Linked DNA regions of Drosophila melanogaster. The protein of the gene in region 3 interacts with the protein of the main gene of each other region in a pairwise test. Each region holds a gene or a part of one and is shown on either strand. Other genes may lie near its edges.

What was found. The genes of interacting proteins can lie anywhere in the genome.
Region 1: the proteins of Rilpl (region 3) and nom interact in a two-hybrid assay, tested with the Drosophila melanogaster proteins (2 studies listed by BioGRID).
Region 2: the proteins of Rilpl (region 3) and Arl8 interact in a two-hybrid assay, tested with the Drosophila melanogaster proteins (one study listed by BioGRID).

The regions. Positions count from the first base shown.
Region 1 is NT_033777.3:8,719,996-8,725,857, forward strand, and holds nom (numerous disordered muscles), read left to right. Parts: upstream 1-3,178; 5' UTR 3,179-3,246; coding exon 3,247-3,366; intron 3,367-3,437; coding exon 3,438-3,955; intron 3,956-4,138; coding exon 4,139-4,387; intron 4,388-4,455; coding exon 4,456-4,681; 3' UTR 4,682-5,362; downstream 5,363-5,862. Other genes in the region: CG11760 (uncharacterized protein), read left to right, coding at 1-2; CG8136 (uncharacterized protein), read left to right, coding at 1,545-1,566, 1,628-2,931; ouib (ouija board), read left to right, coding at 5,489-5,608, 5,657-5,862.
Region 2 is NT_033777.3:8,123,075-8,130,335, reverse strand, and holds Arl8 (ADP ribosylation factor-like 8), read right to left. Parts: upstream 3,732-7,261; 5' UTR 3,617-3,731; coding exon 3,494-3,616; intron 2,296-3,493; coding exon 2,141-2,295; intron 2,075-2,140; coding exon 1,913-2,074; intron 1,847-1,912; coding exon 1,726-1,846; 3' UTR 501-1,725; downstream 1-500. Other genes in the region: CG9667 (uncharacterized protein), read left to right, coding at 4,021-4,023, 4,085-4,107, 4,171-4,331, 4,393-5,024; CG7878 (uncharacterized protein), read right to left, coding at 5,198-5,513, 5,571-6,206, 6,269-6,777, 6,833-7,261. UniProt on the Drosophila melanogaster protein: Required for normal functioning of the late endocytic pathway including lysosome motility and late endosome-lysosome fusion. Not required for the delivery of lysosomal membrane protein-containing vesicles to late endosomes.
Region 3 is NC_004354.4:1,390,222-1,399,699, reverse strand, and holds Rilpl (Rab interacting lysosomal protein like), read right to left. Parts: upstream 6,647-9,478; 5' UTR 6,157-6,646; coding exon 5,542-6,156; intron 5,477-5,541; coding exon 4,986-5,476; intron 4,618-4,985; coding exon of another isoform or gene 4,603-4,617; coding exon 4,507-4,602; intron 4,455-4,506; coding exon 4,329-4,454; coding exon of another isoform or gene 4,325-4,328; exon of another isoform or gene 4,148-4,324; coding exon 4,015-4,147; 3' UTR 2,363-4,014; downstream 1-2,362. Other genes in the region: CG32813 (uncharacterized protein), read right to left, coding at 8,135-9,451. UniProt on the Drosophila melanogaster protein: May have a role in lysosome distribution by interacting with Arl8.

The sequences.
Region 1 (5,862 bases), on a different chromosome or scaffold from region 3:
AGCCATATAGACAGAAACATCCAACAGCCAACTAGCAGCAAATATACATGCGAAAGTTTAGCAATCTATAAGATCGAAAAAGGATAATATGCGGTGTAAGGAAATTTAATGAATTTGAAAAGCAGTAGGCAGCTGAATTGCTCATGGCCGTGGAGAAGAGAAACCAAACAGAAAGAAAAAAAAAACAAAACAAAACACATATGTAGCATATTAATAATTATGTATAGTAAGGTTTATGATAACATACACACACTCTTATATACATATATTTAACGGTTTTATATACAAAAATTGTTAACATTTAAGCATCAATTGGAACCAATATAAGACAACAAGCAAAACCTAAAACTTGAATAATTTTCACAATTTTAAGATGAAAATTTTTTTGTAAAAAGAAAAATATCGAAAAACAGCCGAAAAACAAATTTGATGTGTGGAAATAATAATTTATAATAGTTCACAGATAGCTCGAATCTTAAAAAGAATTGTAAAAAAATCAGTGGAATGTCTCACAAAATCTAGTCAGCATCAAAATCATGAAAAACAAATGGCCGAAAGGCCATTAAAAAAATTCATTACCACTAAGAGTCAGCGTTTAGTAGTTCATACCAATATTCAAAAGGCGGAGAACAACATAATTAAGCCCAGTTAAAAGTCTAGACCATGTGTGTACTTTAATGAAACTACTTTATATAAACCTAGCAAATAGCGTAAATAACATTTTCAAGACGTCACTAAAAACAATGCAAACCCGAGCGGGCAACCGTTTACTAGAAAGCGAACAACAAATTAGCTAAATCATATAAAACATTTATAGAGTGTTAAAAACTAGGCGAAAACCCTCCATTACACTTCTCCCCAATTCAGCCTATTGGCAACTCGAAACGCCCTTTAAATCACGCTCAATTATCCCCGCCTGATAGGATCCGAGGATTGCAGCTCCTCCAATGCTAGTCACTAATGTTCACAAACATTTTCTAAGCTAGACCGAAGATTGTGTAATAATTTGATAAGACCTTTGTGTGGTTTCATAGCAAAATAACGCACAAATCGATAACAAAAACTCTCAACAGTCCACAAATCTCATGCTTTTAAAACAAAAGAAATAATTTTACTGAAACCAAACAGCTGGAAGCTAGAAGCTGAAAGAAAACCAAAGCCACATCCTACGTTGAATAATTTACCTGTATAATATTTATGTCATTTCGTTAAACGCAAAATGTTAACATACTTTTAAAGCGCGTGTAAAACGGATAGTTAATAAAATAACGACAACAATATTTAAAAGAACATATACACTCGATGAAAATGAATATTAAAGATCGAAAAAAAGAAAAAGGAATCTGTTATTAGTAGGCCGTGGGTTCAATAAGATCTTTTCGAGTATGATAGGTGTATTTCGTTTTGTGCCTCCAAAATTTCAGATATTATTCAGCTACACACAGACAGGCCTCCCAAATTTGTAAGCTCTGTAAATTCAAAACCAGAACTGCTGCAGGCCAGTGGCGAAGTTAATTTGTCAGAGGAAAACTCAAGCCATCTCCATGGATAAAAACCACAAGTCGGGTGAGTCAAGCCGAGTGTGGCATCCTTAAGTTGTTAAAACTATGTGTGTTCTTTGCTCCAGAAGAGGGGTTTGGACGTTCAATGTCTAGTAGCAGTCGCCGCGTCATGTGGAAGCTCAACGAGGAGGAGGAGACATTCGACTCCTTGGTCAATTATCGGCGGCTTCCTTCGCGCAGCCTAAACCGAAGTCAGGTGACCGATGTGCCCACCAAGGGACACACTACCTCCGAAAATTGCCAGCTGCCAGCGCAAGAGTTGGAAACAAAGAGCGCCACCAACGAACAAGGTGCATTGGGCATAATGTCGGTTAGCCTACCGCAAACAACCAGGAATTCCCATCAATCGTCGGCCACGTCACTGCCGGAGGCCAAGGGATGCACTGCCACCGAAAACTGCCAGTTGCTAGCGCAAGAGGCGGAAACAAAGAACGCCAGCAACGAACAAGGTGGATTGGGCAAAATGTCGGTTAGCCTGCCGCAACAAAACTGGAACGCCAATCAATCGTCGGCCACGTCACTGCCGGAGGCCAAGGAGATCAGCTCCAAAGAGCAGGCGATCATCTACTGGCGGCGTCTTTTCGATGGTATCCACAAGCGCCAGCGTGGCGAAAGAAAAGTTGCAGCAATGCAGCCCGAAAATACCACAGATGTCGTGCTGACGTCCAAGCCAAACCTGGCATTGCGCTACAAGCCCTCCCATGAGTCGCTTAAAAACAAGCGGATCAAGGACCTGGCTCCTGAACGATGCCCGAGCACGTCCCGGGGATCAACGTCCTGCAAACTGGTATCGGACCTCAAGATGGAGACGTTCAGCCTGCCGCCGCAGCAGACGTGTGTGGTGCGCGAGGTGGAGCCTCGGTTTGGCCAGCGCCGACGCATGTTGTTGGCCAACGACACGGATTCGTGCTACTCCGGCGAGCTGGAGGTCCCCAAAAACAGTCCCGTCCAGGAGCCAGGACCCTATCCGCGCAGCGAACTGATCAGTGTCCATGTCTCGGCGCCCACCAGCTCCTCTTTTACGGGAGCAACACGGCGGAGTCTGTCTCCAACTAGGCAGCGCACTGCGACGAGCAAGGTGGCCGCCGGGACGAAGGGCGGACCATCACCAGCAGTTGGGGGCAACAAGTGCTCGAGCGTCAGCAGCGGGAGTGCAGGTACCAGCCAGCTGCCTAATTTCCGCCAGCGGCAGCAAGAGCTCCATCGCTATCGCGTTATGATCGAGCAACGGCGCCTCGATCTACTCGAGCTCAAGATAGCCCGCGAACGCGAGGAGGCGCTGCACAGCGAGGTTCTGTTTCACAAGGAACTGCAGATCAAGGAGAACATGATCAAGGTGTACGAGGACAACGACTGCTCCAACGCCTAGGACTTCCTTTATTCCTAACTCTTTCGACCCCAAATTCAGAAAGGTATTTTACACTTGGCAATGGCCCTGGCCTCAGTAGTTCAAAACACTCAGTCAAATAAAACCGAAATTCATTTAGACATCCCAATCTAGGTTTTTTATTAACTACCTGAGAAATAAGTATCAAAACTGCAATATATGAAATTCAACTTAGCGGGTAATTTCAAATCTAATGTGCCCGTTCGTTTACAGCACTGGCAGTGTGTGCGCATCGCTGTGAATGGACATTAGCCCCAAACAACTTTTTATTTCATTTGTTTAAACCGAAAACGTGAAATGTTAATAAATGTGTGCCGAGTTTGCGGCAGGAGCAGGCTGTGCCCCAAAGCCGTGGAGCTCTTCAAACCTGGCAGACAGGATATTCTTCGCCGCATCCAACTAATAACCGGAATTCTCGTGAGTTAAGGAATCAAAATGGATCGCGCAATTTACATATGTGCGAGCGCTTCCTTTTTTGTATTCTGCAGCTTCAGCAGATTCCCAATGCTCCGGATATGGTGTGCTTTTGCTGCCAGACAGATCTGCAATCGGCCATGATTTTCCGGAGGCAGTGCATCCTGCAGCAGAAGAAATGGGTGCCATTGCTACAAAGTGATAAAGTGGGAGCCAGCGAGGAAAAGAAGGTGGAACCCAATGATCCCTCAACCAAGAAGAAAACGACCAAGCGGCGAAGGGGGCGACCCAGGATGCCACTGGAAATTGTAGATATAGTCGTAACGAACGAGAGTAAGGCTTCAGCAGGTGAATCAGTTGGTGGTGATGAATTTGATCAGCCGGTGGAGATCTCCAATGAACCGGATGCCACCGATAGCGATGTTAATCTGGAGGAAATAGATCTTCCGGATGAGGATGGCTTGGAGTCGGATCACGATTTACCCAATGTTCAAATCCACAAGTGCGATACTTGTGGAATTATCAAAAATAATAAATCATCTCTGGTCAGGCATCAGTTTGAACATAATGGAATAAGACCATATCCCTGCAAGTAAGTAAGAATCGCGACGAAAATATACATTTACTGATACTTAAATAGGTCCGTCGTCTTTATCTTTATCTCTTCGTATCTGGTCCATTATCACGATTTGATTAGCATACATTGTGCCTACATACATACATATGTATGTAAATTCTTTTTCTTTGTACAGTATCTGCAATATGTATTTTTCAGGGAGTGCCCAAAGACCTTTCTGGTAGCGAGTGAGCTGAAGGCACACAATCTCACCCATCACACCTTGGAGCCCCCGTTCGCCTGTCGCTACTGCGATCGTCGCTACTTCTCCGTGGTGGGCAGGAAGAAGCACGAGCGGGTCCACACCAACGAGCGACCATTTGTGTGCGATCAGTGCGGCAAGGCCTTCACCAGGACCTGCATTCTGAAGGCCCACATGGCGGTCCACCAAGTTGTAAGGAAGTATAGGTACTTGATGAAATTAAAAAAAAACATGTCGAGATACATTCTGTTATAATCTTTCATTCCCGTTTTAGTTGCGATGTCTGCGATCGTTCGTTCAGCCTGAAGAAACATCTCGCTACGCACTTCATCTCCAATACCCACAAGCGGAATGCTGAAGCCGTCACCTCGTCGTCGGAGTACATGTCCATGCTCAGTTTTGAATCGGATGAAACCTGGTCCCAAGGCACTCCACTGACCACTTCCATTGACGAGGATCTGGTGCAGTCGCAATTCGACCTTTTGTGTCAGGAAGTTTAATACATCTCAAGATGCCATATGTTTTATCAATATACCAAAAAAAAAAAAAAAATTTAGGTAAGAGCTAACCCACAAAGACTTAATAACAGCTGAAACCACAAAAGACAATATCAAATATGGGTCTAAAAATATTGGTGACATTTTTGTAATTCCTTAAAACTCAGCAACAAAGAGACAACTTGGGAACAAATTTAGCTTTTTTTAGCACGTAGTTTTTAAAAAACACTTTACAGTGGCCATGTTATTGCAAATTTTAGTTTTTGCTATTTTTTTTTGCGTAATTTACATCTGCATTGCAATTGCTTCCTTGAATATAACAAAAGTGCCTATATAGTCTTATCTTATACATACATACTTTATTGGGCTAGTTTTAAAATAAAATATATTCAGACATGAGGTACAAAAATGAACATTGAATTTAGAATCAAATCTTTTTCGAAATACATTTTACGAAACATTTTACGTGGATTATTTCGATTTACCGAAACAGAAATATGAAGCTATATGTTTTGTTTTCAAAAATTGATCCTGCGCATTATTAGCATGCAGGTCGTACTTATTTCAAGCACCCATGAAATGGTTCAGCTTAACGATTTGACCAATATTATTTACACCTATTATTAAGTTTTAATATTATAAGCAGTATCTGTTTTATCAGACTGCTCCAGTTGTTAACAGATCAATAGCTATTTAAATAAAGATTTTGACTTTCAAAAATCCCCGCCTTGAATGAATAATTTATCTGGTTTGCCTCAAAATGTAATCACCATACAATTGCCTTTCCATCAGTCGAGTTTAGTGATCGAGATGCTGAACATCGTGTGTAGAGTCTGCGGAAGGCAGAAAATCTGTGAGAAGAGCCTGAATCTCTTCGATTTGGTCAACCGAAAATATCTAAAGCACTTGCACATGATAAGCGGACTAAGAGTGAGTTAAAAGACGTTTTAAAATTGAGATAAATAATATCAGCACCAGTTGGTGGATTTGGACGATGTTCCTGGTTTCATGTGCCTTTGCTGTCAGGCGGAACTCAGATCGGCATTGGCATTCCGGAAGCTTTGCATTAAGACCCAAACTAAATGGCTAACCATCGAGGACGACTCTTCGTCGGGTGATGAAGATACCAATGACAATTCGGAACTGGAATCGGAAAAATGCGCATTCAGCGATTTTGGGAAAAA
Region 2 (7,261 bases), on a different chromosome or scaffold from region 3:
ATTTGTCATTATATAATCAGCACAAGTCGCACAAATCGCTGAAAATTAAGCAGAAAGAACTAAGCACCGTCTGCCTTTGTGGCATCAGCAAGAATATCATTTTTATTTTACACGTCGAATACAGTGGGGTTCATAAAGTTAAAGCGAATAGAGTCACAAGCCATTTATTCGAAAGACTTCCACTTGTCTAACCAATTGATTCTGCAATAATTAATCAGCATAAAAAAGTCGATTCAATTTGCTATCGCTGACAACTTCAGATCAGATAAACCCACTTGCAATTAAAGACCAGTCAACTAATCAGTTAATGAATACGTCAATTCAATGACAAACAACGAACCATTTGTTTCATCACTTCTATGTATAGTATATCAATTAGTTGTTTTAAAGCTATGAACCGCACTGTCCATTTGTCTTTACGATTTTATACGACATCTAAGCACAGGGCATATGCGTAATGTTCGCAAATGTTTTCGGCTTGTTGTTGATGCTCGTTTATAGTTTTGGTATGAAAATTTACGAGCACATCGTTAGCGGTATATTTTTCTTTTTTTTTCGGAGATTCGCCTCGAGTTGTGGCCGAATGTTTGGCTTGTGGCAAATGGCTGCGAAGCGAGATGCTTATCGCTGGCCCTGTTAATACCCCGCATTTAAAAGTGTAATTAACGCAATTTGAAATATGAGGCGAGCGACAAAACGAAAGACTTAGGAAACGAACGCGCAATGTGTGCGGCAGGAAGATTGCTACGTATTCGGACTTCCAAAGGAAGCAGGAAGCTACAGAGACATGGGGCATGCAAGCATTTGAGCATGACTCACTCAATCGCACGGCTCGTGCTTGACGCGTATTCCTGGAAGTCGGAGCCCTTGTCCACCTGCTCCCCTCCTCCGTGGCTATCCTCCGGTAGCAGTGACTTGATTCTGCACACAGAATTTCTAATTAGCCAAGGGCCATGGCACCTCGTTTTCCAATATTTATGCGTTCATAGGGCTGTCTGCATCTATCAATTGTTAGCCTGCAACGTCTGCATTTGGGTGGCCGACTAATGCTGGTCGTCTTGACTCTATAAATTACATTCGAACAAGTGTTTGGAATATTTGATGCTTTCAATCGCCGCAATCTCAGTTATTTGTAATTTATGAGACTCACTTGGGGTTTTGTAATGTTTTTATAATTTGTCTTTATTGGTTTTTCATTTATTTTTCGTTTTATTGCTGTTGTTTGTATGCCTTGCTCGTTATCAGTTTTCAAAATTTGGTTATTGTAGTTTATAATTTGCATTGCTGTTTCATATAAATTATCATAATTAACTAGGTGAATGTTAATGAGTATAGGAAAAGCGTGACAAGGCTTAAGAATCGCAATTCGGTTTTTTGGCTGCAGCTAGAAAACCTCAACAATTTTTTTTTTGCATATTTTACAATCAATCATGGAATTTCTTTAACTATGGCTTTCACTTGCTTAATTGAATTTACATTCATATTGTTTTAATATATATTTATAGTTTAAAACGTCTTTATAATTTATGCTTTTCCGCTGCTTTCGCATTCCAGTTTTCGCTAAGCAAAAATTCCAGTTGAAAATAATCCGCATCGAAGCATATAAGCGAAATGTAAAATATATAATGAATACAAAAACAATAAAATTAAAATATGTGTGAGATATAGTGCCTAAGTGTGTGAGTGTAGAGGGTACGGAGTTGTGTGTATGTCGGTGTTCGTTATCTAACGACTTTGGCTTTTCGAATGTTGAATTAACCACTGCAGCGTGATGTCAATGTTGTCCTTCTCCTTGCAGGAAATACTATAACAGCAGATTTCACGGTCCTGTATGCTCGATAGATTCCTGCAATTTATTTTAAATGATTAATTTATAATTTTTAAATAGTTTTAACAATTTTAAGGCGCTCACATTCGTTCGATGAGTCCGGTTTCATCGAGAGCGCCTGGAAGATCTCGTTTATTGCCCAGCACGAGAACTGGAATGCCGGCGAGCTGCGGTTTGTCCAACAGTGAGTGCAGCTCGTTCCTCGAGGCCTCTAATTTGTCCAGATCGGCTGCGTCCACCATGTAGCTGTTGATTAATACATTACAGTGTTACTTGACTACCGATTGTTGCTTAAGTATCATTATTGCTTACACAATCGCATTAACGCCGCGACAATAGCGCTCCCACATGGATCGGAATCGAGGTTGGCCTCCGATGTCCCACACCTTGATAGTCACATTGCCTCTGGTGATCTTGCGCATGTTGAATCCAACTGTGGGTATCATGTCCTCAGCGAATTGGCCGGACTACAAGAAACAAAAATAATTAGTAAGTAATCGTGTCTTAAATAAAATACAACTTTTATATTAGCAAAGAACAAAGCCTAGAAGTATGCAATCCAAAATAATGTAAAACTCGTGTAAAAAATTGATTTTTTACACATGACAGCATCCAAAACCTTAAAAAATTTGTTATTCTTTTTGAAAATGCTCTTAAATAAATAACTATTGTAATATCTTAAAGTATTGATCAAACAATGTCTTTTGGTACTAAATTTAATTCAACATACAACACTTAAATTGATAATTGATTCTAACCCATAAATCTTTGTTCTGTATCAGCATCAATCACCTTACATATGCATTCAATAAGAGAATCGAAAGCTCCTAAAATGGCAAGATGTTACTTCTGTGACTTAGTTTAAATTAAAAAGGTATACTATAGGTTAGCAGTCGCTAGTGAAATGGGAAAAGTGACTAATTGGCGCCACCCACAAGTTTGTTTTCATTCCGAACCTGAACATTACACTAATGCACGAATCTGAATGCAAACACGGAATTGGAGTCTAATAGCAGTGATAAGCAGGGGAATATTTCCGTTTCGGGAGCACTTGAACAAACAAATTTCCCGTAGATGCGGGCAGACATTTGAATCGAATTCACATGACTCATAATAAGTCAGGCGGTCACAAAGGCAGTAGTTACTCCACCTCCCGCAACGACTGGCAAGTGTATGCAACTATCTACGAGTTCCAGTAAATGGTAACTTGAGATCGTCGCATTATCAGCGTGCAGAAATGTGTGAAAAAAACCAGGGAGGCGGTACGGGAATACGGGGTCAGGGGTTGAAGTGCTGATAATGGCGTCATTGTGCGGAGAAACATGCGTATATATGGGCTATATGTAGGTTTATTGATTACAGCGGCAGGAACGGTAAACTTTACCACTAAAAGGAAACGGTTAGCACAGCGTTAATTACGGATGCAGTGAAAGAAACTGGGAGTACGAAAAGATAAGAAATAAACAATGTTAGAGTGGGGGAATCAAGCTAAGACCAATTCCTTTGTCACTGGGGGTTTGTAATGCTTTTTAAGTAGTAGCTGATCCCCCGGCTTTCCGTGAACCCCCTCCCCACCCACACAACAGACAACCACACACAAAAAAAACCACCCTCTCACCCATACACCCACACGAATTCGCACACACCCACTGCGAAAATACTCACTGCAATAACATTGACGAACGTCGTCTTCCCGGAGAACTGCAGCCCCACTAGCGTGAGTTCCATCTCCTCTTTCCAGAAGATGCTCTTGAACCACTCGAGGATCCTGTTGATGAGGGCCAACATCCTGGGGCAGGTGTGTTTCTGGTCGGGATCTGCTTGAAATTCGCGAAAAAAGGTTTCCTTTTCCAAAGAGCGTAAATGTTGTCGTGAAAAAACAACTGGGCAGGTCAGTGTGGCCAAGTGCGCGGTAGTGTACTTAGTAGTATTCGTAGTGAATGGTAATCGTTTATTTCAGCATGTATCCAATTAAGAGAAAATAAAATTCATATGGTATATATATATTAAGTACAAATAAATAATATTATGTCTTCGGGTTTCATCGGGAATATTATTAATAAATTGCATTTAAAATATATGTGAAATCGCTACTGGACAATATTTACTGTACTTGCTATCGATAACGTGTAACCGATTTCCGTATAGTTCGCTGTGACTGGCAATTAAGGCAGAAGAAGTTAGTAAACAAAATGGTAAGATGATGTGAAAATTTTATTAATTTTAATTAAATGAATAATACATGTATATTTTCAGGCGCGCAATGCAGAGAAGGCAATGTAAGTAACCCGGATATACGTATAACATAAGATTTCCAGCACTCATCCGCTTATTTTCGACAGGACAACTTTGGCACGTTGGCGGGCCGCAAAAGAAGTGGAATCTGGTGAAAAGGAACGCCGGCCCTATTTGGCCTCCGAGTGCCACGATTTGCCCAGATGTGAGAAGTTCCGCCTGGAGATAATACGCGACATATCGAAGAAGGTGGCCCAGATACAGAATGGTACCTATTTCGGTTTATTTATTTCTCCCTAACAATATACACTAATAGCGACCACTTATAGCTGGCTTGGGAGAATTCCGGATTCGCGATCTGAACGATGAAATCAACAAGTTATTGCGTGAGAAACGGCATTGGGAAAATCAGATATCCTCATTGGGTGGCCCCCACTATAGACGCTATGGTCCCAAGATGTTCGATGCGGAGGGCCGTGAAGTTCCCGGCAATCGAGGCTACAAATACTTTGGAGCCGCCAAGGATCTGCCGGGTGTTCGCGAGCTCTTTGAACAGGATCCTCCGCCGCCACCCAGGAAATCACGCGCTGAACTAATGAAGGACATAGATGCCGAATACTACGGCTATCGAGATGACGAAGATGGTGTTCTGATCCCTCTGGAGGAACGCATCGAACGAGCGGCCATTCAGAAGGCCGTGCAGGAATGGCGGGAGAAAATGGCCAGAGATGGTCGCATAATCGATGACGAAGAGGAGGATGAAATATATCCCCTTTCGGGACCAGCACGCGAAGCCATCGAGGATGCCAAGGCTCGAGCCGCCGTGGAGGATCCTCATGGCCTATTGGCATCCAAGTTCACCGCTCACGTTCCCGTGCCGACGCAACAAGATGTACAGGAAGCACTGCTGCGCCAGCGGAAACGGGAACTGCTGGAGAAATACGCCGGTGGCACTAACTAAGCTCAATAAACATTCTAAACTCTTAGTTTGATACATTTAAATCGCGTGTTCTTTTAACACGGCATGTTTTGGGTTATGATCATCTATAATTGGAATAGATAAATAGTTAAACAATTTTTGGCAAGGCACTTCAATGCGCTCTAGTCTCTTATAACTAGAAAATGTAGAATGAATCAGTATTGAAATTGATCGAAATTTCGGCGTCCGCCGCCACGTCCGCCTCCAAAACGACCACCTCTTCCTCCAAAACCGCCACCTTCAGCAGCGCGCTTGTCCTTCATGGCTTTAAAGCGTCTAGCCATGTTGTGCAGTTCGTCGGGCACTTCCTGCTCCGCCTCCTGCAGTATCTCAATTAGTTCCTTGGCCATAGCCCAATCCTCGCGCGTAAAAAAGCTTATTGATGTGCCCTGTCGGCCAGCACGTCCGGTGCGACCAACACGGTGCACATACTCCTCGATGTTGTGCGGAAAATCATAGTTGATGACATGTCTTTGTGGATGAAAAAATAATGACTAATGGGTTCCTCGACTCGAAAAATTTGCTTACGTGATATCCTCAATGTCCAGGCCACGTGATGCCACATCGGTAGCAACCAGAATGCGCACGACGCCGGACTTAATATCGGCAATAGCCTGCTCACGATCCATCTGATCGCGATTACCATGAATGCACTGGGTCATGAAACCATCCAGCGTAAGTTCACTGGATAGGTCGTCAGCACGAACCTTGCGTCCACAAAATATGATGATCTTGTCCGTACTGGACATGTTCTTAACGAAAGATGTAATGGTGTTGAATTTGTCCATGTCATCCTCCATCAATTTAATAATTTGTTTCACCGAGTGCGTGGCTGCCAGATCGAGCGATCCGACACACACCTGGATGGGATTCTTCATATAGCTCTGCGCTAAACGACGTACTCCTGGTGGCCAAGTGGCCGACGTCATTATGGTCTGACGGTCCGGACGTATGTCTAGCATCACCTTCCGGATCTGCGGCTCGAAACCCATGTCCAGCATGCGATCTGCCTCGTCAAGCACCAGATAAGTGATGGTGCTTACATCAATGACATTGGCCATTATCAAATCGTTCAGGCGTCCCGGAGTGCAGATAATGATCTCCGCACCGCGCTCCAAGTCGGATATCTGCATGTTGCGATTGCCACCGCCGTACACGCAAACCCTGCAAATTGTGTTATTTTGGTTAAAAAGGGAACTCACTTCATGTTCGATTAGGATAATTACGCTTTCATGCCACGAAAGGAGTACTTCTTGACCTCCATTTCGATTTGCAGAGCCAACTCCCGAGTGGGTGCCAGCACCAGAACGTTAGCTCCGCCCCTCGTGCCCCTGGGCGTGCTCTGGTACTCGGTGTGAATCATTCCGGGCAAAAGGAAGGCTAGTGTTTTGCCAGTGCCTGTTTGGGCGATACCGATCATGTCATGACCTTGGAGGAGAATGGGCCACGCCTGCGATTGGATGGGCGAGGGCTTGGAGAAGCCCATTTTGGTAATCTCCTCAAGCATATCTGGATATTCGGCAAAGCATTGCTCGAAGGTCCAAACTGGATTTGGAATAGGCGGTGACGTTTCCCCCTCCTTTGGCTCGAAAACATAAGAAACTGTTATCTTGTTGTTCTCCTCGCGAATGCGCTCAATCTCCGATTTTGTCAGATTGGCCACTTCAGGAGCCTCCTTGTAAAAGTTCTTTGTTAGCGGTGGACACTTGGACCACCGTGCCGCAGTAGCTGCTATCTGTAAGGATACATCGTTTAGAACGTATAATATCTAATTTTTCTTTTGTACTCACCGAAGCTTTATTCAGGGCTTCCCAATCAATGATGCCCGTAAGATCCCCATTGTCCTTATTGGACTCAGAAGAAGTGGGATTGAACTCGTAGCTATTCCCCTTGTATCTGTCGTATCCGCCTCCGTCATATCTTTCATTGGAACCGTGGTCCCTATTATCGCGATCCTGTCCCCTATCACCCGAATTAGTGACCTGCTTGCGAACGTGATTGATAGCATCGATGACGTTGCTCTGGATGCTACCAGTTATCTTGACTATTAAGTCGCACTTGTCCAATTTGACGCGGACATTGAAGTCGTTCTGGATCCGGGATATATTGGAGCCCCCTCTTCCAATAACTTTTCCGACCATCTCGGAAGCGATGCTCAAGGATTCGCTAAAGTCTCCTCCTCCTCCCCCGGCACTGTCGCGACTATCACGATGCCCTGC
Region 3 (9,478 bases):
GTATTCCGTCTAGGGCAAGTTCCTAGAATGTTCATTCCAATAAGCCCGCTGCAACATCTCACGGAAAGCGCTCCAAGCCAACGGCTCCAAAACTCGTAGAATTCACCCGAACGGCGGCCACATTCGCGTCATGCGCGTCGCAAATTAAGCAGGCAAACAGGGACGGCGATAGGGCGCCGGTAACGGTGCCGGAGGAGGATTGGAGGCGTACGGGGGCCATCCTGGACGCGGCGGATGGCCTCCAGCAGGCACATGTGATGTGGCCAACTCGAAAACGTCGGACGGCTAACACACTCCCACACACCCGCGCACACATGACGACCCACAGGAGCGCCGGGAGCGGTCCACAGTGGAGCGGAAAACGGTGCAGCGGATGTACGCGAGCGTTAACACTTTCGCTTTCTTGTTCCAACCTGGCGCTGGCCGCTAAACAGGCGCCCAGAAAGCAGCACCAGCAGCAGCTGCAGCATGTTGCGGCGGGAGCGGGCCAGCTATAGAGCTCCACCAGCGCTCCGCCCATCCCGCTCTGGCCCGCGTTCACTACTCGCACACACTCGCTGCAAGAGAAAGATGTGAAAGTGTGCGCTCCCGCTCTTTCTCTTTCTCTATCTTAGGGTGGCCATGAGATGGCAATGTCCTTGTGTAAAAAACAGTTTTTGGGCTCAGGCGCTCATCGAGGAGCAGCAGTCGACGAGCGGTGCTGGATTGCGGCGAGTGTGCACACGCACAGTGAACCCTCGCTGGCTGGCACCGCGGTATTTCCAGCGCTCTCATTTCGATGCAGTTAGCCGGTTAGGTGCATGCAATATACATACATATATATACACATGTATCATTGGGTAATCGAGACAAATAAGCATGTAGGACTGGTTGCACTCCGTCAGGTTCACTGCGTCGAATGAGTCCTGTGTCCCAGCCTAAAGCACAACTTGCGCAGTTGTCCATCTCCAGAATTCACTGTACTGGCTCTGTGGAAGTGCGGGAGTTTCGAGTGGGGCTGCCCCTTGCATCCAAATCCAAATCCAACGGAGCTTCTGCGGCGGCTGCTGCGAGCCTGTTCAAAAATCGACTGACTAAGGCCCCTGAAATCGTCGCACGGGGCCTCTGCAGAAACTCATTAAGCGCTTTTATCTCCGCTCCGTCTCTTAATTCTTTTCTTTCTGGCCAGCCCATGCCAGGCCAGGGCAATTAGTGGAAATTGTGGGGCCCACTCCCAGTGACCACAAAAACACAGGGGCCTTCTTCATTAGCTGCGCACATTTCGACCTACGATTTTCGCAGCGCATATCCTTCTATCCTATTACGCTAACATCTTCTTAATTAAAAAGCTGACAACGCCGTCTCCGGCCACCATGAACCCGCCCACGTCTCGCCGCCAAGTCCGGTGGCAGATTTTTAATTGCTTAATTGGAACTGCGTGAAAATCCCGTTGAGAATGGCCAGAACGCATCCCCGAACGAAGAGCCGCCACCACATCACCACCACCACCAACAAATCGCCTGTTGCTGGGCAATTAAAACGCCATCGCAGATGAGGGGCGGTGCTCAAGGTCGTCCAGCCGGAACAACCACCACGCCCTAGATACGCCTCAAACCCGGCATGGAGATCAGGCGCCCAGTAAACGGCAGAAGCGACCCAGCAAGGACTCGAGGACGGGGCACGAGATGCTGCTACGCACCGCACGAGATGCAGGATGCGGACGCGGATGCGCAGGGTTGACGATGCTGCAAGATGGCTTCGTGGCTTGGTAAGTGGGTGGCCCAGAGCCCCGGGGTAAAGCTCAGTCGAAAAGCTCGTGGCGAGAAAGCTCCAACCACCGCGATGGGTGGTCGGGCGCGGGGGAATCCCATGGGATGCACTGCCAGGTGTTACGCAATCAGCCTTGTTCGACATCCACCCCCTTTTCTTAGTACCAAAAGCACGATCGAAATACAACCCCACCGACTGTCCTTGTGCAAAGGATATCAGTAGCTAGAGGCTACAGGCTCGGGCGACATGGAAGCCAGAACTCCAATGACTAGAGCACCCCGAAATGTGTTTATGGGCAAATTGAAGTCGCTACTAACCTTTAAGGCTTGATATGAAATGTTATGATACGTGAAAATACTTGAACTTGAAGATGGTCTTCAAACATCCTTCGTTTCTGACGATGAAACACACGATGATGACAATGATCTTGAACTCTCTGCCGATCTCGACTTGTTTCTTACAATACCTTGGGAATAATTTTGAAAGCAATCGAAAATAAGCCAAATTAAAAACGAACTTATAAGTAATGTTAAATAATGAAATAAACACCTTAGGTTCCGCACAGCGAGTGCTCCACTTGCCGCCAACCCAAATCATTCATTCGAAATCCACTCCACGGTTCATAAGTTTATTTTGGTGGTCGCTCAAAGGAAGCCACTCATAAATTTGATGTACGTACAGGGGTGAGCAGATGATACCCGGATGCGGAGGCGTCGCCCTCTGATGCGGTTCACCATGATGCGATCCAATCCGATCCGATCCGATGCTCGCTATCGCTCTGGTCGCTCCTGCAGTCCATGGTCCAAGTGCCACCCTGGTACGCTTTGAATTTTGTATAATTGTTGCCTTGTTGCCTTTTTGGTTAGTCATAGTTCCATATAATACGGTATTACATAGTATATAGTAAAGTATATTATGTATAATGCATGTGTATATGTGTATATAAATTTAGTTAACATTAATTCACCAAATACTCAATTTCTCTCCATCTTCTTTTCGTGGTCTTCACCCACTCAACGTTAGTCCACTTTTTCATATCGATGCCATTGCGCGCTCGTGTTCAATTTTATAAAAGTTCAGTTGCCACTCTTTGTTGTGTTCGAAACGAGATGGGTTAATTGAGATTGGTAAGTCGGGTGTTGTGGGCTGGGTGTTCGGTGCGTGGTGTGGGTAGTGGGGGGGAGTTGCGAATAATGGGGGCATAGGGTCTGACCATTAGTCTTTGGCACGTTCGCATCGACGATAGCGATGGAGCTGATATGTAAACGGAGTTTCCTCGCTTTGTGCTTGTGAGTGGAAGGGGAGCGGGAAGTGACACCATATTGGTAATTGCACTACATGGGCGTCTCTCTCATGGATACTAGCTATGAACGAGGATCGGACTGAGATCTCCTCGAAATCACTGGGCTTCAAGTGGAGTGGGGGCTCTGGGCGAAGTCGTCTGGGTGCGGTAACAACAATTCGAGCTGGTCAGTGGCTAAGTCTATGGTAAAACTCTTGGCTAAAACATTCCTTGATTTAGACTGGCCGGCCGGCAATGGGGTAACGCGGAGATTTTCGCTTTTTGGCATCTTTGTGCAATCGAATGCTATCAATGGAATCTACTATGCTGAGATTGGTTTCGTTAGTTAGTTCAATTCAAGTCAACAAACAATGCGCTAAGGTTGTAACGTTTGCTAATTATATATCAATTATATATACTTTTAGGTTTCTTTCGCTCTAAGGTTTGCGTATTTTGATAAATTTGTAATATATTTATAAGGCCGCTTGGGGCAACTGCTATGAGAGTGCTAAAATACTCATACGGGCTGGCGATAGCCGAAGATCTAGATAGATGCAGGGGTCTTAGGGACAGTTACACTACGGATAATTGAAGCAAAATCTTCCCGTTCTACCTAGACTTTCTAAAATCTGGGGTCCCAGAACCAGAGTCCTCCTCGTCTCGTCTCCTCATCTCACCGAATCGTTTTCTCTGCATCTGCACCTGGGAGGACTGTTTGTCTTTCTAAGCTTGTTTTTGTCTAAATTCATTAAAAACTCACTCGGCAATCTTTGCACAATCTCGATATCGTTTTCGTTCTCGTTTTCGTTCTCGATCTTGATTTTTGAAACACGTGCACATGTGGGGGCTGTGGTATGTTTGGAGTCTTATGTGGTAGTCGTTAATCAAGTTAGAATAAATCGAAGGTACGAAAAATACAAAGTGGATTCGTATTAAATATATCCAGTACAGTTAGGGGTTACGAGTTACGAATAAAACGCGTATTACGTAAACAAAATTGCATAACAACTTAGAATTATGAGGGCACAGCAATCGAGTGTGTAAACTATGTATGTACAGCTCAGGCGGAGCAGGTGAATGGCGAGGGACAGGGTCAGATACAGGCTGTTGCCTAAACTAAATGTAAACGTAATCGTAAGACGTAAAAGTAAAAAATAAATAATAAATTAGGATGCAAGATGCAGGGGTGCGGGGGGCAGTGCAAACGGAACGGAACGGAATGGAACGGAAACGGAAAAACAGAAAACAAACGAAAAGTGAAATGCACGCCAACTCGGATGCTTTAAGGGGCGCTTACTTCGCCGCTGCGGAGGCGGAAACGGAACCGGGCGTGGCCGACAGCGCCATCTTGGAGAGCGTGGCCAAGGAACGTTTCGGGAACGTGTTGCTGCCGTCCGACGGGTCCGAGAACAGCTTCCGGAAGCTACAATGCAGAAAGTGAATCGAGAGCTCTACGCCGATTGAATGCCACTTACAATTTGCGTATTCCCGACTCGGAGCTCTTCTTCCAGGGCGCATCGTCCGGCTCGTAGGGCAAAGGGCCCTGCACGGGCGCATCGTGTCCAGGTGGCCTGAAAAGCGATGCACTATGTATGTACTTAAGTAATCATAACTAGGGATAGTAATTAGCTATAAAAACTCAAAAATAATCAACATATAGATCCGAATCCAACGATTTGTTTGACTCCCAATTGTGCCATTTACCAGTTACCTGCTGACCTTGCGAAAAAACACGCAAATATATACGTTTAAGCTCTGAATCACCTGCCAATTAAACGTTTGCATCATAGGGTCTATTTGAATATTGTTAGCACTGAGCAACAACAAAAGAATGACTCAGGCTGAAAATGCTTGTTCGTTAATCACTTTGACTCAAGCGGTCGTTCATAAATTCTTGTTTTCTCTGGTGAGGGACCACAAAACTAAAGGATGTAACAGAAATGGGCTCACTCACGTTTCTCCGGCCGCTGGTGGCTCCAGCTCGTTCGCCTCGGCAGCCGCCTCCTCCTCGTCGTCGTCATCATCGTTGTCCGCCACGTGACCATCGTCGTCCTCATCGCTATCGTCGGAGCTGGAGAAGTGACGCTGCCGCTTGCCCTTCGCCTGGCTTGGTGGCTTCAGCTCCGCCAGCTGCTCGTTGAGGGTGTCGATGGTGGTCAGCAGCTCATCGCGCTCGCTAATCAACTCTTTCAGCTCGCGCGTGGTGTACCGCGGCCGGTTGGGATCGTTCTGGCCATCGTCGTACGAGGCCACCAAATCCTCATTCTCCTTTTCGGCCAGGCCCAATCGCTTGCGCAGTTGGTTGATCTCCCGGCTCTGGTCCTGCAGCTGGGCAAGAAAGTCGGCGCGCTCCTCGCACAGCGTCTTCACTTGGGCCTGCATCAGCTTGTGGCGGCGCCGGGTATCTCGCTCTGATGCCTTCAGACGCTCCGCCTGGATATTGAGCTGGGAAGGGTTAGTTAAGAATACGTTAGCTGGGAATATGAGCACCTATCCTTAAGGACACTCACGTGCTCCAGCTCGCTGTACTTGTCCTGCAGCTCACGCTCGCGGTGCTTCAACTCGTCGCGCTGCTTGTATATCTGCTCCTTCAGCCGTTGCAGCACTTGAGTATCCGAAAGAGCGCTGTGCAGCTCGTGGTTGGTCATGCTGATAATGCTCTCGGTGAGACTGGCCCCCAGGCCGGAGCTCTGGGCGGACGATGACTGCAGATCCTGAGTCTGCTTTACCAGCCGCTTGTTCTCGTCTTGCAGCGAGGAGACGAGATCGACCAGCTCGTTGGTCTCGCTGCGCCACTGCTCTTCGATCAGCTCCAGCTCCTTGTCGAACCGCCGCCGGAACTCGGCCTTCTCCAGCTTCTCGCTCTCCAGCTGGGCCACCTTATCGCGCAGCTCCTGGATGGTGGCGTTCTCGCGCTCGTTCTTCGTGGCCAGCGCCTCCAACAGCTCCAGGGTGTTGATGATCTTGGGCATCAGCCCGCTGACGGCGTCCGTGCCGAAGCGGTCCATGATCCGCTCGTACTCCTTGCCAATGTCGGAGGCCAAGTCGTACACATCGACCACGCCGATGTCGTCGATGGCGTCCAGGACCATTTCACCCATCTCATTGAGGTGAAAGCCGGGCATCCAGGTGGTCGCTCAGATAATCTGTGACTCCTGCCAAGCGCTGTATCACTTGTTTACTTGCTCACACTTGCTCACTGGACTCTGTGTTCACTGAAGACCAGCTTCAGTTGTCGCCTCTTTCCACGGTGTCCTGCTCCTCGGAGTTGCTTCGGGAATCGCTGCACCAGCTGACAGGGATTTTTCTTTCGCTAGCAGGACAAGTGTGCGTGTGCGTGTACGTGCGCCAGGTGTTGGTTTTCCAAGTGCTTTAAGGGAGGGGGGGAATCCGCAATCCGAAGTACGGAATTCGCACTTCGCAATTCACAGTTGGCGCACACAGACTGCACAGTAGTGTGCGTGGGAGTGGCAGTGCTCACTTCATTCACTCTAGTTGTTACTGCCGCCGAGTCGCTTTTCGCTGCCGATTCCCACATAAACAATCCGACTTTCCGCAATTTATTTGCACAATTTTTGCTGAACCGAACTGGAACTGATGAGTAACGAATAACTGGTTCGCGGGCGCCCATATGTGCGAACCAGTTCCCAGATGAGCAGTCGGTTGCGCAGTCTGGTAGCGCTTTGTGCTGGCTGGTCAGTGTTGGGCAACGCCAATTCGTTTGGCGCCAAATGAAGAGCAGCTTAAGCGAGCAAAATGAGCGTAAGTGCCAAAATGTTAAGCCTTAAACGAAATTTTACTATCCAAAAGTCAACAGGCTGGGCCACAAAGTAAATTCATTGTTTTATTAATAAGTTCTTGTTTACAAAATTGTATAAATAGTTTTGTTTTCTTGGTTTTCAGTTTCGTTTGGTGTGTGCTTCCTTGTAAATTGTGGTTACTGGGTCTGGATAGGCAATTAATTGTATTTTACACGTACAGTAGCACTAACACTAACTAAATGGTTTGTGTGCCACATTTACACAGTTATGCAGCGGCGACTAGCAAGTTTCTTCTCTTTACACCATTTCAAATCATTGGTTTGGTTTCACTGGTTCATTAAGTACATAAATTAGCTACAGTTCCTTCAATGCTTTCCTCGGGGGAACAATCTAAGCGATATAAAAAAATAATACACAAGTTCTCGGCTAGGCGTAACAATTTCGATTTCTTTTCTGTAGCTCTTTCGTTCTTCACTTTTGACTTTAGGGACTAGATTAGGAACCACATTTGTACATTTCATTTTCATGCGTTCTTAGCTGCTCGATCTCTAATTAAGTAAGTAAGTAAGGTCTAGTTTTGTAAAGTAAATGTACATTCAAGATAGTCACCTTCTTCTTCTTATTCTTTTTGGTAGCAGCTCGTAGGAAAACTTAAAAATAAACACGTTACATGTATAGAAAAAAAAAGGCAATAAAAAAATAGGCGACGCAAGACATTTTAAAATGAGATGAATCGCTATGTTTCAGTTAGGCTGGCAAATAAATAGTGGGTCGCGAGTGGTTATGACCGGTTATTTCAGCAGGTCCTTTGGCAAGCATTTTCGATGGCAAGGCCCCAATCTTGGTTTCTGTTTTGGCACTCAAACTGGGCGTAAATAAATATATATGGTAAAATTAATGTTACAAAGTGGTTGCGTCAATCCATGGTAGCAAGTATAAAATTAGCAAACTAGACAAAATACTAGCACCCCTCCTGGGGATCCTGATTCTGCTGCAGGGCCAGCTGCCTCAGGAGCTCGGAGGTGACTTCCTGGCGCTTCGAGCGCTTCGCTGGCGGCGGAGAGGAGTGGGGCGGTGTATCTGGCGACGACAGGCCGCCCACCACGCCAACATCCCTGACCAAGGCATCCTGTGAGTCATCTTCGTCTACATCGTCTTCCTCGTCTTCGTCGGGTAGCGTCAGGTCCGTTATGGCCTGGTCACGGTTCTCGCCATCGTCCTCCGACTGCTCGTCCTCCCTAGACCGCCCATCATCTATGTCCACTATCGAGATGATGTCGCTGTCGCTTTCGCTTTCGCCCGCAGGACCCCCGACTAGTTCGAACCGCCCCTTGGCTGCGGACTAGCTGGTGCTGGCCTGCGTCTGCAACACATTGGCGGAAGCGGACGATGAGGCACTAGCGGCGGTCACGGCGACGGGCGAGAGCACACTGGCTCCAGGGAAGTGGCACGGGCACGCAGGATTGGGCATGTGATTCGCCTGACTGTTCAGCTTGCGGGTGAGCGTCTGCCAGTATTCGATTTGGGCGTTGATCAGGTCGATTTTCCGCTTGCTCTCCTCGATCCTCAGCGAATTCATCAGCTCCTGGTGCTGGCTCCTCGTCCCACCGCTGCCACTTCCTCCGCTGCCCGACGTGTGTGCCCCGCCGATCCCCAGGCCCACGCCGCTGTTGTTGGCACTGCTCCCGCCGCTTCCGGCTCCGGATCCGCTGCTGTTCAAGGCGCTGCACACTGTGCCCGCCACTGCCAGTCCGTTGTACCCGTTGAAACTGCCCGCCGCCCCGATGGCCACGCCTCCTGTCTTGTCCCGCGCCAAATGGTTGTGCGTCATCTGTGCGTGGTGGCCGCCGTTGAGCAACAGTTGCACTCCATTGGAGGCCACCGCGGAATTGCTTGTGCTGCCGGCAGTGTGGTGGCTATTGTTGATGTTTCCGCGCTGAAGGCGTGGCAACTGCAGAGTGGGAGGGGTGCGGCGGCTGCTAATGGCGACCGATGAAGATGGAGCGGCGGACCCATAGGCGGCATTGATGGCCGCCTGCAGAGACTGAGCCGGATTCACGGCGGACAATCCTAGGCCGTTCAGCAGCGTGTGCTGCTGCACTTGCTCCGCTGTGAGCGGCAGCACTCCACTGGCACTGGAGCCGCCATTGCTGGCCGCTGATAGGACAGCTCCTGTGCCGGAGCCGCCGTTCTGCAGCGTCTTGTTGATGTTGGCAAAGCTGCCCACGCGTATGTGGCCCACGGTCTGGATAGTGATGTCCGGTTTGGGCGCTGATGCGTAGCTCCCGCTGGAACTAATCGAGGTCTTCGTGGAGCACACGGGCGAGCTTGCGGCGCGGCGACTGGTTTCGGTAATCCCGTTGCTAGACATGTTTCCGGGAAGGGAGCCTCCGGAGACACCACCGCCGGCGGCTCCGGACGATCCCACCTGCTGCAGCTGGCGCACGTCCGTTGGAAAGAGCACGTCGTCCTCCTCCTCGAGGCACACCTCCGGCGCCTTGTGGCTCAAGCAGTCGTCGTCATCGTCCTCGTCCAGGCAGTCCATGCCATTGTCCGTCTGCTCGTTGTCGCTAATTGTCTCCGACTTGATAAGGATCACGTCCGTGTCCATGCCCTCGTGGTAGTGGGGCATCTGCAAGTGTGAGGAAAATAAATGATACTGAAACCATCATGGACAGCGTTTTAG